4 linked regions of the Arabidopsis thaliana genome follow. The protein of the gene in region 4 interacts with the protein of the main gene of each other region in a pairwise test. Each region holds a gene or a part of one and is shown on either strand. Other genes may lie near its edges. The genes, in order: AGL42, NAC041, ERF1 and GATA4.

Region 1 (6,314 bases), on a different chromosome or scaffold from region 4:
CCAAGACGAATCTGCACTAACAAGACACACCAATAGACTTTACAGAGAAAGGTTACGAGTTTTGAAAATATTAACGGACCATAGTCATCGCGAAGACAGTTGAAACGGCTGAATCTCTCCGATTTGCAGTATTTCGCTTCGGGAGTCAGAAAGCAGAGGTTGAAGGCAAACGCCGCTAACGTAAACCTTCTCTTTCAGGTGGAATCTCTATTAAAAGGCTTTTGGGCCTTATTTATAGTCTTGTATCTCAATAGGCCTTTGGAGTTTGGGCTTAATTATCTAAATCGGCCTTTGGACTTATCCAAAATATTTTATTCAACTGCTTGAACGTCTCCCTTACATATCGACCATTTCATTTTTTAAAAAGATCCAACATTTGGTGAGGAAATCCAAAAATCGAATATCCAATCAGTATTAAACTAAGACTTATTGCCCAAATTGTATACTAATTCAGTTGGAACGGTAATCGAACAAGTGAAACGAATCAGTGCGAGACACGTGACAAAGCACTGACATAGTACGATGATGTCGATGCCAATTTTCAACACTGTTTTCTTTTTGGCGTGGGCCTTTTCGATACTGTTTCATCTCCTCTCGTTTTCTCCTAAGATTAAAAATAATAGAAAGAGGACAATGTATTATTATTCTCTTAACTCATAGACATAATGACACGTAGTAGGTTCTCTAGTTCCTATCTTTTGATTTCTGTTAACGACTATGTTCATTAGGAGCTACTAGTCACAATGCCTTCAATTAATTTTAACAACATATTTTAGCTACGAGCTTGTCGAGAAATCAGTTTGTTAATACTATTAAAAAAATAGTATTCACGAAAATTTTGAAATTCTCTACTAAATTTTTATTAAATCACAAAACTTTTAAAATTGACCCCATTTAAATTGACTCCCACTAATCCTATAATTAAGTGTTATGTTCTCTAGTAATGACGACATCGTTAGAAATTCAAACACTAATAAATGATTTTATTAATATTGCTCAAAGCCTCAAAGTCGTCCATCGATCTTCTCTCCCCCAAAATTTCCTATTTTAGCGGAGACTTTCCAAAATCCCTTGTTCTTTCTTTCCTCGTTAAGTTTGCCAAAATAGGGTAAAGAATATGTTTATCTCGTAGACCAAATGGATCTTCCTAATGCTTAATAGCTTTTTTATATATATATTTTAAGTTATATTTCGTACGGCTATTATTTTAATGCAACATTTGAACCTGCCACGATTGTCTTTTTTCTCAATTATATAAATAAAGGTTGAAATACTATAATTGGTGCACAGCTACAATAATTATGATATTTACTTCCGTAACGTGAAGGAGAAATATCTAATAAATTACATTTTTATATAAAAACTGTACTAACTTACTTAAAATGAGAGTGAAAATACTAAATCGTATGAATATTACAGTAGTATTTAATTACCATTTTATTGAAATTTGATATATATATATATATATATATAACCATATATTGGTATATACACACATTTTTGTTGACAAATAAATCAATTCTTATAACCAAGTTTGGTTGTTTTCCAGATAAATAAAATAAAAACAAGAATTATCCTGTTTCTTGTTTTGGCATCTAATTATCCTTTTGTATGTGGGGAGGAGAAGATATGGACACAAATTTAAAATACTCTATACATAATTTTTATTATTATCAAGAACAGAAATGAAAATAAGAATGGCATCATTTTATTGTGACCCATAAAACAAAAAAGAAAAGTGATAAAACATAAAAAAAAACTTTCTATAAAAAAAAAAAACATTAAGAAACTTGCCCCTTCCTTCTCTCACAGATCATTCTAGGGCTCCTGACAGAAAAACCAAATACCTTTTCCTCTTTCCATTTTTGTAGAATTTCAAATCTTTCTTTCCTCAATCTTTCACAATGATCTTTTCCTGTGAAGTTCTTGATTTTAAATCACCCTTTCTTCACTACTAGCTTATCTCTTCTTCAATTTTCTCTACCGACATTCAATTACTCTCCCTATTCGGTGAGATCTCTCTCTCTCTTTTATGACTTTGGTTATGATGACTGGTCACTGGCTTGTTTAGGGTTTCAATCTTTACAGATCTTGTGGCAGAAAAAATCAAGTCAAAGCAAGAAAAATGGTTAGAGGAAAGATAGAGATGAAGAAAATAGAAAACGCAACGAGTAGACAAGTGACTTTCTCAAAAAGAAGAAATGGTTTGTTGAAGAAAGCTTATGAGCTCTCAGTACTCTGCGATGCTCAACTCTCTCTCATCATCTTCTCCCAGAGAGGAAGGCTTTATGAATTCTCTAGCTCTGAGTATGTTTTCTTCAATTTCTTCTTGATTCTTTTAATTCATCTTCTTTTACTTTTCCGATCGTACTTTTTTTGGGGGGTTAATTAGGCTTTTAGGTCATGTGTTTGTGTCTGTTCTGATTTATTTTCTGAATCGTTATTGACTAAAGCAACCTTCTCAGATTTTGGTACTTGAGAGATTCGATCCTTGTCTGAATCCTAAAGATTTCTTTCTTCTCTTCCCCTATCAGTCTAATTTCATTTTTCTATTTTTATAATAGTCATTTGGTTAGAAATCTAGACAAACTCCTTTTTTCTGATCTACCAAAACTTTACATCCAAACTAAATTGTGTGCGTATATATTGATATATGTGTGTGTATGTTTCTAGGGTTTCCAAATTCTTGAAAGTATATATGAACAGAAAACAACATCGGAAGTAGATCTAAATGGGATTTATTCTATAATTTGATGATTATTTATTGTGATCCGTACCAAGTTGCACATATTTTTACCCATTTCTTTGGTGATAATATAAAATAAGTTTACTTTTTCTTGCCCCTAGTTAATTAGGTTGTGTACTATCGTTTTTGGTTTTCGTTATGTCTTTATTTGGGCTCTACTTTTGCAGCCATGTAGTAATAATGCTTGCTCTTCCTCGTTTGATTCAGGTGTCCAGTGCATACATAGTTCCCTATATATATATATGTTTAACACATTCACATCCTTAAGTTTTTGCTATAATCAATGTTAGAACCAAGTAGCTAAAGTTGTGATTTGTTATTCTCTATAGTAATATATATTGTTGATTAGAGGTTTCCTAATGGGTTAATGGATCTAGATTCAATTATTTGATGTGAGAAAAAAAAGAGTTCAATAAATGGACAAAAAAGGGCCCGGTGAATCATAGGGCATGGATTTGAATAGTTACCTAGCTATAGAGATATTAACCAACAGCAAAGAAGATATTGTAGTACAATCTAAGAATCATACTACAGTCAAACAAAATTTTCATATCTCGTTGCGATAAGATGTTATTTCAAATATAGTAGAGCTATAGATAAAACAAATACGAAGATAAGTACGTTAGTTCATATTTCTGAAAATATATGTCTATTTTTGATCATCAGTATGCAGAAGACGATCGAACGCTACCGCAAGTACACAAAAGATCATGAAACCAGCAATCACGACTCACAAATTCACTTGCAGGTTTGTTAGCAAACTCTTTTTTTTTCACTTGATGACTTTCACGGTTTTATCCTTGGTAAAAATAATCAAACTTAAACTTTACATGATTTCCATGCTATTGATATTAGACTGTGGGCTTCCAACTTAAAACCAATTGGCAATAGGTGGAGAGACCCATATCTTATATATACCACTTAAGATCCTACTCAACTTCCGATGTGGGACATTGTCCCTAATAATTGATTCTTTGACTTTCAATGGCCAACAAAACCAAATCTTATGAGATCAATTACTACATCACAAAACAACTGATGGATCGATGGTCACAAAGATTACATACTGATCTGTTTTACTTCTTTTGCATCCTATGATTTTATTTTGTGGGCGTATTGTAGCAATTGAAACAAGAAGCAAGCCACATGATAACAAAGATTGAACTCCTTGAGTTTCACAAGCGGTATAATGTCTTAGACTTTTTGTTTCTTTTTCTTTTCGTTGCTACTTCTCTTAGATCACAATCTTGATTATTATTCCTTTAATTTCATTTACGGTATTTTGTTTCGTTTTATATATAAAACCATATAAGCTTAGACTTTTTAACCAAACTTTCTTTATTAATTGTAGATCCATATCCTTAAGACTTCATTAACCATTTTTTATTTATTTCAATACTATAATTTTTAACCTTTTTGTTAGTATTTCAAGAATTTTTTTTATAAAATTTGAAACCTTTAGTCGTTTAGATTTAAAAGTCCTTTTAGTTGTTTCCGTATGTAAAGGTACGCATGTAATCAAAGACCATACTATAGTAATATCATTAATGTATTTGTTAGTGATCTCAAATAGGAGAACTACTTTGGAGATTTACAAAATTTGTTCATGAACCCTCCTCTGCGTGTGTATAGGAAGCTATTGGGACAAGGAATTGCTTCTTGTTCTCTAGAAGAGCTTCAAGAAATCGATAGTCAACTCCAAAGAAGTCTGGGAAAGGTCCGAGAAAGAAAGGTACATATACTTCATCACTATCTAATTGGTATATGATGATGATCTAATGTAACTATACAACACATATTGACTTGAATAATCTCCATCTCAGTCATCAAGTTATAGTCCTCATTTAGATATGAACTTGAACACAGATCTTTGCAACCATTTAGCGTCATATCTCAACCAATATACTAACATTGATCAAGAGTCAAGTCACATGTGTGTTTGTATATTAGTGTTGTTATCATGGAAATGAAAAAAAAAGTTGGACAAAATGTTTTATAGGCTCAATTGTTCAAGGAGCAGTTGGAGAAACTAAAAGCAAAGGTTTGATACATTATGTTATAATATAAGATATGTATATCATACATGCAATTTTTTAACTAGCTTTTTTATATGAAATTGGTGAAAGAGTGTCGGTTGTGTTTCAGGAGAAACAATTGTTAGAAGAGAACGTCAAGTTACATCAAAAGGTGACCCATCTCTCTTTACAATTCACATATTTAGAATTGTATATACCAATACTAATTCAACTGAAATTTACATATATATCATATATGTTATGAATTGCTAATGCTTTAGTATGCTGAAAATATTACCCAAAGAACTCTGATTGTTTTTCGTCGGTTGATTTTTTACATTTTTAGATTTTTTTTCTCCGGCAAAATCATTGTTAGAGATTATACGGTGCTATTCGGTAAAATTTGGTTCTCGTTCCAAGTTTTTTTTTTTTGATAAAGTATTTGATTAGTTTTAAGGATTTCAAAATTTAAGTTTGAGTTTGACTTTTTCAGTTGGTTTTGTTTACAACTTTTGGATATCATTTTTAACATTTTCTCCTAGAGATAAAATTATAAAATGATATGTTTTATGGTTGATGAAATTGCAATCTATGTCATGGACAGAATGTTATTAATCCATGGAGAGGATCATCGACTGATCAGCAGCAAGAGAAATACAAAGTTATAGATTTGAATTTGGAAGTTGAAACTGACTTATTCATCGGTTTGCCAAATAGAAACTGCTAGTAACATTATATAATATGTTTATTTATTTATCATGAAATATTCAAAATCATTCAATAAATTGTGAGGTAATGATTTGGGATAGTATTTTCTGAGTTGTTATAATTCTAGTCCTTATACAATTAAAGAGATATATATATACAGTATATTCAAAATCCTTCAACTAATTGTGGGGTATGATGTTCTTACACTATTCACACTGTATTTGGAAGCTCATGTTAAGAAACATTCTTGGGTTCATACTTGGAATGTCCAGTCATCATCCAAAATCTAAAACAAATCTTCGGCCTAAGTTATGGGCTCCAATCGGCCCAATAAGGATCCAATGGATTATATTAATATACAGCCAACTACCCACCCATGGCCCACCAGTCTTTGTTGCAGTTTACTCGTTTGCAAGTACTGTATATTATAATCAGATACACAGAAGTTAGATACTACTAATTACTTGATAGGATAATATTAATACTCTAGTGTATAGGAGATAAATGCATCAGCTCACGGTTAGCTGCTTAATTCTGCTGTATTTGAATTTTGAAATTCACTAACCTCGACCGTTGCTTTTGTAATAATAATCTATTCATTAGATAATTGTAATAATTGAGTATGGAGAACATATACATTATCAACATGTAACCAGGAGTTTTAGAGAAAATAATCTTTTTTTTCTTCTCAGTAGCGGTAAATTTACCTTCAAGACAAAATATTTATCGATTGTAAAATTATATATTAATCAACTCATCAAGTTATACTTCCAGTTGATGAAATTACTTGTATATTATATATCGAAATATTCAATACATTTACATTCTCGTACACGTACATAGAT
Region 2 (4,027 bases), on a different chromosome or scaffold from region 4:
ATAGATTCTAGGGGTTGGTTTGTTTTCATCTAATTAAGACCGTAACTCAAATAAAATGATAGTTCACTTTGATAATATTTTGTGAAATTGTAATAACCTGGATTAGTAGAAATATCCTGGATTAGTAGAAATATAAACGAGTAATTGACTATCACAATAAAGCTTAACAAGCCGAGTGAGTAACAAGTATGAGCAAGTAAAGTATCATTTCTTGACATGTAATTTTCATTTTTCGTAACTTTCTCTACAACCCAATTATTGACCGCAACTAAAAATAATATTATGTTGAGACATACAACAAGAACATATGGAAGAGAAAAAAAAAAAAAAAAAAAGTCGATATGGATTTCGTTGACGACAAATCCACATTGTATTATTTGGACAAGAGACATGACCTTTACCTTCTCCTCACGCAACCGGCATTTGTTGAAGTCTCCCATTGTCCCTCCTTTGGGCCCTACCTTTAATGCCAAACTAACCCATTGTATTTGGTATTCTACATAAAAGTTGTACACTAATGTACGATACGATTCAACTACATTAACCGTATGTTAAATTATATAGTATTCACTTGTTGATAAATAAATTATGTTTGAACACAACAAAACTTAGTTTCTATATCCGCTGCTGTTTTGTTATAGTCGTCATTCGTACGAGTAATTCTTTATGTTCCGCACTAATCACGCTTCTTTTGTACCACTTAGTATGTGATTTTCTCATTCGTGGTCTTTGAATTGTATTAGAGGCAATTTAGTCTTTTGTGAGATTAGGAGGTGTGTACGGAAAAGTGTGTGAGACAAATGAAGTTAATGTGGAGGAGATCTATAGTGGGACAAAGCAATTGAAAGTCGCTTTAGAAGCAACTAAATGCCCTCTTGACTTCTCCATTCTCCTTGCGATTTACGCATTTACCTAATTGCATCTTTTACTTGTTTAGCTTGTTAAGTTCTTCTACAACATTACCACTTTTGCTCTCTTAAGTTATTGCAACTTGACAATTTGTTATACCCTTTATCAAAAAAAATACCTGGCAACTTGTTTGAGCTCCTGAATTAATCACATCTCTTAAAAGACGTTTTGCGAGTATAACATGAGCTTTTCTTTTTATAGATTCATTCACCAATCAAATATAAAAACTATAACACAATTAAAATGCCATGTAGCTAGGTATATTAGCAAGTCGTAGAACAGAAATGGAAAGACTTGATGAAAGCACGTCAATTCAATTTCATCTCCTATAAATAAATTGTTGTAGGAAGCCAACCGTTTTGGAATTTCTTTTCTTTCGTTTTACGTAAGACTATATAGATTCAATAACGTGTTGGTTTAGAAACCCATACTTATAATGGTTGACAAAAAGAAGAAAGAAAAAAATATAAACATATACGCTAAAAGTGTTTACCAAATAACAGGGTTATGTAATTTATTATCTGGATTAGGAAAAGATGATTGGACCATGCGATGGAGTAGAGGAATCTGCAGGGCATTTGTCACTTTCATGGACCCCATGAAATCACATCTCTTTTAATTGAATAATCGAAATCCAGTTGCATACGCATCTTTGTCTACGATTGGTCGTAGCACATATACGACATATGCCATAACTACAAACTAACTTAATCTTCTAATAATATTGTTAACGATCGTTAATACTAAAAATTACTAATATATTAGTCGTGTTATCTATGTGTTATGAGGTGTGTTAATTGTTGATGCATAATGAATGAACATGATCTCTAATTTGTTTACCTCACACTATGTGATTCAAGGGTGGAAGTCGTTGGTTAGCAAACATTAGTGTCTCAGGACAAGATAGCTCAGGACAAGATGTCCGAGCGGTTCAGAATCAGTAATGTTTTTTTCCGGAGACTCTACTCGTTGAGTTTTTGCTTGTACTCCCTGGTGTTTGTGTTGTGATGTAGTTTTGTTGTTTTACTTAGTTTTTGATCTTTTATGTAATTTGTATTTCGCTGTAACTTCGGTAAAAAACTTGTGAAAATAGTATAAGTACTTAACATTGATACAAAAAAAAAAAAAAAAAAAAAACTCATGAGGTCTTGTTATATATATGGTGATCACATCTTTAAAGAAAATGTTATAGTATTTGTTTTAGTTTAAACAATTTTTTATGTGCCAAAAACATTATTAAAAAGAGAGCAATACCCTACTCTAAAATAGTAAAGCTACCAAATTCAATTCATTACGACATGGCTCAAAAGAAAAAGTATTTCGAATATTATACGATATCAACCCCATTATCATTGCTATAAAATAAGCCAAACTTTACCTCTCCATTTTCAATAATCTCTCATCTTCTTTCGTCTCTCTTTCTACGGTTCAAACATTAAAAAGATAGATGGAGAAGAGGAGCTCTATTAAAAACAGAGGAGTACTTAGATTACCACCAGGGTTCCGATTTCACCCGACCGATGAAGAGCTAGTGGTTCAATATTTACGTCGAAAAGTAACCGGTTTACCCTTACCAGCTTCTGTAATACCGGAAACCGATGTTTGTAAATCCGATCCATGGGATTTACCAGGTACAGAAATTGAAAAATCTACTCTAGGGTTTCATTCAAATTCAATATTTGATGGTGTATATGCATGATGATCACAGGTGATTGTGAATCAGAGATGTATTTTTTTAGCACGAGGGAAGCTAAATACCCGAACGGAAACCGGTCGAACCGGTCTACCGGTTCGGGTTATTGGAAAGCGACTGGTCTCGATAAGCAGATCGGTAAGAAGAAGCTTGTCGTGGGGATGAAGAAAACTCTTGTTTTCTACAAAGGTAAACCACCAAACGGAACAAGAACTAACTGGGTTCTTCATGAATATCGTCTTGTTGATTCACAACAAGATTCATTATATGTAAGAGAATCAAATTCAAATAAATTAGATTCATCAATCAGTTGGATAAAAACTTGGCTAAAAAGTGTATTTTAATGTGTTTTTAAAAGGGACAGAACATGAATTGGGTTTTGTGTAGAGTGTTCTTGAAGAAGAGAAGCAATAGTAATAGTAAGAGGAAAGAAGATGAGAAAGAAGAGGTGGAGAATGAGAAAGAGACAGAGACAGAGAGAGAACGTGAGGAGGAGAACAAGAAGAGTACTTGTCCCATATTTTATGACTTTATGAGAAAAGACACGAAGAAAAAGAGAAGGAGAAGAAGATGCTGTGATTTGAATTTGACTCCTGCTACTTGTTGTTGTTGCTCTTCTTCGACTTCTTCGTCGTCTGTTTGCTCAAGTGCTTTAACTCACACATCTTCTAATGATAATCGTCAAGAAATCAGTTATCGGGAAAATAAGTTTTGTTTGTTTCTATAGATTAACAAACTTGGGAACAACTTCTATTAACTTTAATAAATTAGATTATGATTGTTTCCAAAGTTAATTATGCAATCCAGGAGTCTTTCTTGGTTTTGGTAATTAATAGCCATATTTTATAGCTTATCTAATTGTATCAAATATTGAAAACTGGTTGATCAAATATCTAATTTGTTAATGAGTGTCAATTAACAACAAGGACCAACCATCTAGCTAACAATTCAAGCAATCAAATCAGAGACTAACACTACATTAAAGATCACTCTTACAAAAAAAAAATGTGGAACATTTTTTTATAGAAAAAATCATATACCCAAACAACACAAATTCATTTATTTTGATATCTGAAAAAGCATTATATGTTAAAAATAGAAAATGCATAATGATTATTTCTTTCAATTGTTGGGTTGTTTCTAAGTTTTTGGACAACACTTTTTTACCCATACTGTAAAAGATCACAACATTGATAAGAAAACTCTCATGTCTGGTTGAAATAAATTAGTAAAAGGTTAGAATAAATTGGTTTAAAGGTAAATTAATATTTTAGTTTTGGCACAAATTAACAAATCAATTAATTTTTGTTTATTTTTAACTAAAACATCATTGATTATCTATCTATATCCGATTCAACCAATATAAAATAATTTATCAAATATAAATCACCCAAAATCAATAATAAACTAGATAATTTTGCAATG
Region 3 (3,603 bases), about 14 Mb from region 4:
TTTTTTGTGTCAATTTATGGAAATCATTTAGCAACTGATATCAAAAGCAATTATTCTTGGGTTACTTTTCTGATGTCAATATTGAAATCAATTAATTTATTCATTTTCGGTACGTGTAAGAAGTTTAAAGTATTTTACCACAAAAAAATGAAGTTTAAAGTAAAGCCAAAAGAGATACAATGTCCAGGTTTGAAGTTTAAAATAGAGCCAAAAACTTTGAACACGTGCGGGATATCAAATAATCAGTTATGCATAGTTTTGGATGGGCTTAAGAAAGAATAAATAATTTTGTGTCCTACTGGACTCAGGATGCATGTGATGATGTGTAGTGTTCTAATAGAATTTAGTTGCGTATCCGTTCGAATAATTATTTTCAACACCTCCTACTTTTGTTACATTGTTTTAAATGACTATTGACAAAATAAAAGTAAATGTAAATAACTAAAACAGAAAAGATGTGAGAAAAACTAGGAAATTCTTTTTTTTGAAGAATTATTAAATTTGCTAGATTTGGATAATCGATTCAACATTTGGAAAAGAAAAAAAATATCTAAGGATGGTTGAAAGATAGTTTATGATCAAACTAGCCAGGATTTTAGAGGGGTCATCAGTTTTCTGAACATTTATATGTTGTTTTCCGATAATACTATAAATTTGATCAACTAATTAGATGACTTAAAATAATGTAATTGGGATAATGTTTAAGAAAATATTAGGTAACTCATATAATTTAAGAGTTATAATTTGGTTATAATTTGCACCAAATTTGAAATATATTTCTACTATAAGATAACTAGAAATAGTGAAGAAAAAAACAAAGGAAACTAGAAAAAATGAAAAAATGGCACATGAAGTATCTTTTTTGTTTGAGAAAGAAGTTGAAAGCAGATAAAGCCAAATTATCTTCTAAACATGAGATGGCTCGAAATTATTTGTTGTTTGGGATTCAAGGGGGCATGTATCTTGAATCCTTCCAACCAACAATTTTCTTTAACCATGCTTTTGGCCAAAAGATTTTCTTTAATAATAATTAATAATAGCTTCCTAAGATTATAGGATAATGATTTGATATTTTATGTAATCATATTTGCAATACCTAAGCATGAAAATGTTTTGTTGAGTTGATCCAGCAGTTATTTTGGAATATGGCTTAATCATTTTCACATCGATCTTGTTATTTCTGTTCGTGAAATGTGAACTTTCGCAGTTATTTGTTTTATTCATAAGTTGTTTTAGATCAAATAAGTGGAGTCCACTTAGAAATTATAAGATGGGAATTTTATTTGCATATCAAAATTATCTATAAAAATTTTAGTCAACTGATTTTTAGTTTTCTACTAAAATCGCCATCTTATTTTCTTCTAGATTCAATTTGATCTGAATGTGGCATGTAGGTTGATAAAACTTATCAAATAGCATCAAATCAGTATTTTCTAAAACTTTTTACATCATCATAAATCTTTCACTTATAAAATATAATATCTTGGGTACACCAAAGTAATCCTGATATATACTACAAAATATAACATTTTAGTTGTTTTCATATGTGGTTAATCTTTTTTAGGTCGTACATGATTCATAAACCTTACCGTCATAAAAAGAAAAATAAATTATATTTAAACTAAGAAATGTGATATGATGCAAAAGTGACAAAATTTCGATGAATCATGTGATGATAATACGAAATGATATACCTAACCTACACTGCTCATTCTACATTTGAAGAATATATACCTAAATATACATACCAATTCTGGGATAATTACATAATATACAGTTTCATATTAGTCTCACGTAATTACGATTCACGACAGTAAGAAGATTAGTTTAAACGGTACAAAACAATTCATATATTACGAAAACATTAAATATCACACGAAGAGAAGAAATATGCAAAACGTCTTTGCTCGAATCTTCGACGAAGCAACATAGTTTTTCATTTGAGTGTAACATTATTTTTCGTAAATTCCCATTTCACCCTTTTATTACATGACATTTGTCTTTCACTGAGACAGTAAAAACTCAAGTCTAATTTGGACATTTGCATATACATACTCATTTTTTTCTCTATATATATAGACCATGTCAATCCACTAACGATCCCTAACCGAAAACAGAGTAGTCAAGAAACAGAGTATTTTTTCTACATGGATCCATTTTTAATTCAGTCCCCATTCTCCGGCTTCTCACCGGAATATTCTATCGGATCTTCTCCAGATTCTTTCTCATCCTCTTCTTCTAACAATTACTCTCTTCCCTTCAACGAGAACGACTCAGAGGAAATGTTTCTCTACGGTCTAATCGAGCAGTCCACGCAACAAACCTATATTGACTCGGATAGTCAAGACCTTCCGATCAAATCCGTAAGCTCAAGAAAGTCAGAGAAGTCTTACAGAGGCGTAAGACGACGGCCATGGGGGAAATTCGCGGCGGAGATAAGAGATTCGACTAGAAACGGTATTAGGGTTTGGCTCGGGACGTTCGAAAGCGCGGAAGAGGCGGCTTTAGCCTACGATCAAGCTGCTTTCTCGATGAGAGGGTCCTCGGCGATTCTCAATTTTTCGGCGGAGAGAGTTCAAGAGTCGCTTTCGGAGATTAAATATACCTACGAGGATGGTTGTTCTCCGGTTGTGGCGTTGAAGAGGAAACACTCGATGAGACGGAGAATGACCAATAAGAAGACGAAAGATAGTGACTTTGATCACCGCTCCGTGAAGTTAGATAATGTAGTTGTCTTTGAGGATTTGGGAGAACAGTACCTTGAGGAGCTTTTGGGGTCTTCTGAAAATAGTGGGACTTGGTGAAAGATTAGGATTTGTATTAGGGACCTTAAGTTTGAAGTGGTTGATTAATTTTAACCCTAATATGTTTTTTGTTTGCTTAAATATTTGATTCTATTGAGAAACATCGAAAACAGTTTGTATGTATTTTTGTGATACTTGACTTTATCAATTTCAAGTTAGTGTAAAAGTCTTTGTCTCTTACTATTCAACTAGTAAGAAAACTCTCATTTTTCTTATTTATCGTAATGAGGATTGTCTTTAAGCATGTGCTATTAGAGTATTCAAACATGTTTTAAGTTAACATAATAATTTTTTTGCACAAAGCCTACAAATAGTGTAAGATGGTCATAATCAATTGCTCATAACAATATACAAAGACAGTTCTTTTTATTGTTCTGTAATATATGAGTCCATGAGTATTGAGGAGCGACTCTATATAGTAGTATAATTTATTTTTGTTAATCATTAATTAGGAGCCACCTAAATGGCTAACTATAATAATGGAGTATAAGTTAAAGTGTTTTAATTTTGTTTCAAATAGACCACAACTGAAAAAGATGGTCAGGTAGTGTAATGAAAATCTTGACTTCTTTCGGATTAGGTGGCAACTTCTAGAATTTTTGTGCTATTTTACATATATTTTTAATTCATGATTTAAAGTAGCTATGGATTTTCTTGTGACTTTCTAAGGGAATTATCTAAGAATAATTGAATAAAAAAGATTTAAATATGCAGAAACTTGAACTTTTTTTTTGCAATGAGATGCATCTGTAACTAGAACTTTTGTCCGATAAAACGTTTTAGGTAAAAAAAGTAGTCA
Region 4 (3,876 bases):
TGCGTGTTTGTACATATATGAGTAGTTTCTGTATAGTTGAAAAACTGAATAAATTAATGAAGGAGCAATGCATGAAAGAGACATAAGAAGATAAATGATAGGGAAAAAATATGTATATATAAACCTAAAAAGAGGGCCATAGGAATTTATAGAACCAAAGTGCAATGCACTTCGGATCGTCGGTCGACTCATCTCCTTCATTGTCTCCATCCATTTTCCCATTCCCCACTACATTTTTATAGTTATCTCTTCAATGTTTAAAATAATATGTCAAAACAACTCTTTATCAAAACTAAATTTTCGTTACTTCTGGTAGTAAGGATATTTCTAAACGTTATCACATTAGTTATTAATCAAACCTGTGAAAGACATGCTAGGTTACTGAAGAATGATATTAGATACTTGTGTACACTCTATTCTACAACGATCGAAGCTAGTCCCACTTCTGTGTCTCTTTCTTTTTCTGTAAGTGTGATTGCAAAATGCGAAATATTCATGTAAGCACAAGAAACAAGATAGTTATACATTCGCATCACTTTGTATTAATAAATTGTTGAGCCAATTTTGTTCTCTATTTCCTTGTTTTGGTCATGTTGAAATTCAACTCTATGATTGATTACACATTCCGGAGAATATTATTTTATTTTCTTTGAACAAGAAAACATAAAAAAAAAAAAAAACTCAACGGGATACTAAATGATCCAACTCACAAATTTCAACAAAATTAAGAAAAAAAATCGGAAAACCTTTTTAGGAGATGGCAGAAGAATTTAATTAACAAAAGGGAGAGAGGCTTATTGAAAAAAATAAAATTAGTAACCTTGCATTTATTTAATTTCCCCTTCATTACTTGTTTAAATTAATAAAACTATAGACTATGATCTATAATGAGTTTATTGCAAATAAGGCATTTGTCTTAGATATATATTTTATTTTAGGCACTTTTGAAATGATCTTTAGATTTAGGCACTTCTTTCCTGGGGAAAGTCGTTTTTACCCTTACAGAGAGATGATGTTGTTCTTTCTTTGTTGATGAACTTTTACGTTTTACACTAGAAATCAAAAATACTTGCGACCAACACCAACAACTTTGGAGTCATTGATTACAGAGTGATGTCAGCGACGATTGGAAATTCAGACGACTAACAATCGGTCCTCATGAGATGTGAATGCGATCTAGATTTTTAACATCCCACATTTTGAGATCTGGAAAAAAAAAACAAGAAACAAAAAAGTCCCACGATTTAGTATTACGATTTGCACGTTTTTTTGTTCAGTGATTTTTGTGCAGGTTAAGGAATTCAAGAAGTGATTGATACTTTGTTGATTGCTCAATTGATGTTCATAATCATGTCTACAAGTACATTGATTTTTGTTCATGTTAATGGTGTTTGATGATAATGAGGATGGTTGTAGTGTTGTGTTATTGTGTGTATGTAAGAATTGCATACTCTATATTTGACGGTTTGGGTTTACAAGTCTAATTCTAGGGTATAGCGTTTACCATTGACGCCGTTCGTTACCCCTCGTTGTCAAAGCCGTGAACCACCACCAAATCTTTGTGCTATCGTCAAAGCTTCATGCCTACCGTCGAAGCTGCAAGTCCACTATCTAAGCCATATATCTTTGGATGTCAAAAGAAACTTAAAATTGAATCAGAGATGGGGATACAATTTTTAGAAGATAAACACATTCTTTTCACCTCATTCTCAACTCCAGTTCATAGTTTAAGGGCAAAAATGTCCGTAACAATAAAAATTGAAGTATTATATGCTTTTACTGTTTAGAGTGTCTGTTTTGAAAGAAATGTTTTCAAAATGCTTGTTTAGAATATAAGCTCGATCTATAATATATGCGTTTTTAAAAAAAGACTAGTATATGCATTATGTAATTCATGGTTAATTAATCCTCTGGTAAGTAAATTAAATAGCACATGCATGTTCAAAGAAAAATGTAGACAAATATATTAAAGTGGATAAATAAATAGAAAAAAAGGGAGTGGTCAGGTCAGTCTCGGTGCATGCTAACTCTATGCACGTTCTCATCTTCGTCTCTTTCCTCACTTACACTAATTCTCTCTCTCTATATTAAACCTCTGAACCAGTGACCACATACATACTCAGTAAGCGAGTCCGAGTCAACAATGGACGTCTACGGCATGTCTTCACCGGACTTGCTTCGTATCGACGACCTTCTCGATTTCTCCAACGACGAAATCTTCTCTTCCTCTTCCACCGTCACTTCCTCCGCCGCTTCCTCCGCCGCTTCTTCCGAAAACCCTTTCAGCTTTCCTTCTTCCACCTACACTTCTCCTACTCTCCTCACCGACTTCACTCACGATCTCTGCGTTCCCGTACGTTTTCAAATTTCAATTTACCCTAATTTTGATTTTGATTTTGAATTTCTAAGTTCTGATTTTGAGTTTTGCAGAGTGACGACGCAGCTCATCTCGAATGGTTATCGCGATTCGTTGACGATTCATTCTCCGATTTCCCAGCAAATCCTTTAACCATGACCGTTAGACCCGAGATTTCATTCACCGGAAAACCTAGAAGTCGCCGATCAAGAGCACCAGCACCTTCCGTAGCTGGAACTTGGGCTCCGATGTCTGAATCAGAGCTTTGTCACTCCGTCGCTAAACCTAAACCGAAGAAAGTCTACAACGCTGAATCGGTTACGGCGGATGGAGCGAGGCGGTGCACGCACTGTGCCTCGGAGAAAACGCCACAGTGGAGAACTGGACCGCTTGGACCTAAAACACTTTGTAACGCTTGTGGAGTTCGTTACAAATCAGGGAGGCTTGTACCGGAATACAGACCGGCGTCGAGTCCGACGTTTGTATTGACTCAGCATTCGAACTCTCATCGGAAAGTTATGGAGCTCCGGCGACAGAAGGAACAACAAGAATCTTGCGTTCGAATTCCGCCGTTTCAGCCGCAGTAAATTTGGGGGTTTTCTTTTCAAGGGTTTTTGTGATTTGGTGACGTGTCGTAATCTTAACGGTGATGATCACGTGACCGACGGGAGGGGTTAAGGACTTAATTATCAGTATTAGTTTAAAGTTTGCAAATCTCTGCTAATTAATTTGTTGGTAATTTCTATTGATTTTTTTCTTGCTTTTGTTTATTGGTCTCACGGCTCTCCTTAAAGTTATATCATTAAATGATTTCATTGGCGGCATTTAATTTTCCTCTTTTCAGATATAAAAGCTTCTCAACCACCATGGACTCTGCTTTTTGTGACTTATGATGTTATATCACACATGACAATGCTGGTTAATCTTCATACATACATCATACATGTTACATGCTTGAGAATTTGAGTTTTTGGCATTTCACGAGGCAATTCAGTTTACTACTTTCTTAAAAAATAGTAACCTAAGCCATACCAAACCTAACTCTCTCTGGTTTAGGCTATTCAAATCTAACAATTTTTCGCTTTATTCCATCTGAACCAAAAATTACCAATACTCTTATACAAAGTGCTTAAACCTCTTATAAATAAACTAAACTGGTTAGGCGGTAACACCGAAACAGAACAAACAAATGATCTGAAAATTGAACCATAATGTGGTGTATAGTGTCACCGTTATTCAAATCCAGAACCCCGACAGACCGAATCCTAATAGAAACCAAAGCAAGGTCTTAACATTAAGATATCGAACCAGAAATACCATACAAAACTAATCTAATTTGGTTAATTTTCCGCTTAAACTATCAACTAAACCAAGCCAAGAAAAAAGAGGATCAAATATATGTATAAAGAAAGACAAAAATTCAAATATCAAGAAACTGCAAAAATGTTGAGGTCAATTGAGACTACTCAAGAAAACAACAACAAAACTCAAAACATGAATGAAACTACTATACTGACAAA

What was found.
Region 1: the proteins of GATA4 (region 4) and AGL42 interact in a two-hybrid assay, tested with the Arabidopsis thaliana proteins (one large-scale study listed by BioGRID).
Region 2: the proteins of GATA4 (region 4) and NAC041 interact in a two-hybrid assay, tested with the Arabidopsis thaliana proteins (one large-scale study listed by BioGRID).
Region 3: the proteins of GATA4 (region 4) and ERF1 interact in a two-hybrid assay, tested with the Arabidopsis thaliana proteins (one large-scale study listed by BioGRID).

What each region holds. Positions count from the first base shown.
Region 1 is NC_003076.8:24,962,950-24,969,263, forward strand, and holds AGL42 (AGAMOUS-like 42), read left to right. Parts: upstream 1-1,696; 5' UTR 1,697-2,010; exon of another isoform or gene 2,011-2,100; 5' UTR 2,101-2,125; coding exon 2,126-2,307; intron 2,308-3,412; coding exon 3,413-3,494; intron 3,495-3,868; coding exon 3,869-3,930; intron 3,931-4,378; coding exon 4,379-4,478; coding exon of another isoform or gene 4,479-4,514; exon of another isoform or gene 4,515-4,745; coding exon 4,746-4,787; coding exon of another isoform or gene 4,788-4,793; exon of another isoform or gene 4,794-4,891; coding exon 4,892-4,933; intron 4,934-5,365; coding exon 5,366-5,488; 3' UTR 5,489-5,658; downstream 5,659-6,314. UniProt on the Arabidopsis thaliana protein: MADS-box transcription factor that acts with AGL71 and AGL72 in the control of flowering time. Promotes flowering at the shoot apical and axillary meristems. Seems to act through a gibberellin-dependent pathway.
Region 2 is NC_003071.7:14,178,919-14,182,945, forward strand, and holds NAC041 (NAC domain containing protein 41), read left to right. Parts: upstream 1-2,059; 5' UTR 2,060-2,356; coding exon 2,357-2,540; exon of another isoform or gene 2,541-2,604; coding exon of another isoform or gene 2,605-2,617; coding exon 2,618-2,871; intron 2,872-2,960; coding exon 2,961-3,329; 3' UTR 3,330-3,521; downstream 3,522-4,027. UniProt on the Arabidopsis thaliana protein: Transcription activator of the mannan synthase CSLA9. Recognizes and binds to DNA-specific sequence of CSLA9 promoter.
Region 3 is NC_003074.8:8,293,558-8,297,160, forward strand, and holds ERF1 (ethylene response factor 1), read left to right. Parts: upstream 1-2,059; 5' UTR 2,060-2,147; coding exon 2,148-2,804; 3' UTR 2,805-3,047; downstream 3,048-3,603.
Region 4 is NC_003074.8:22,371,205-22,375,080, forward strand, and holds GATA4 (GATA transcription factor 4), read left to right. Parts: upstream 1-1,808; 5' UTR 1,809-2,143; coding exon 2,144-2,353; intron 2,354-2,430; coding exon 2,431-2,943; 3' UTR 2,944-3,350; downstream 3,351-3,876. UniProt on the Arabidopsis thaliana protein: Transcriptional activator that specifically binds 5'-GATA-3' or 5'-GAT-3' motifs within gene promoters. May be involved in the regulation of some light-responsive genes.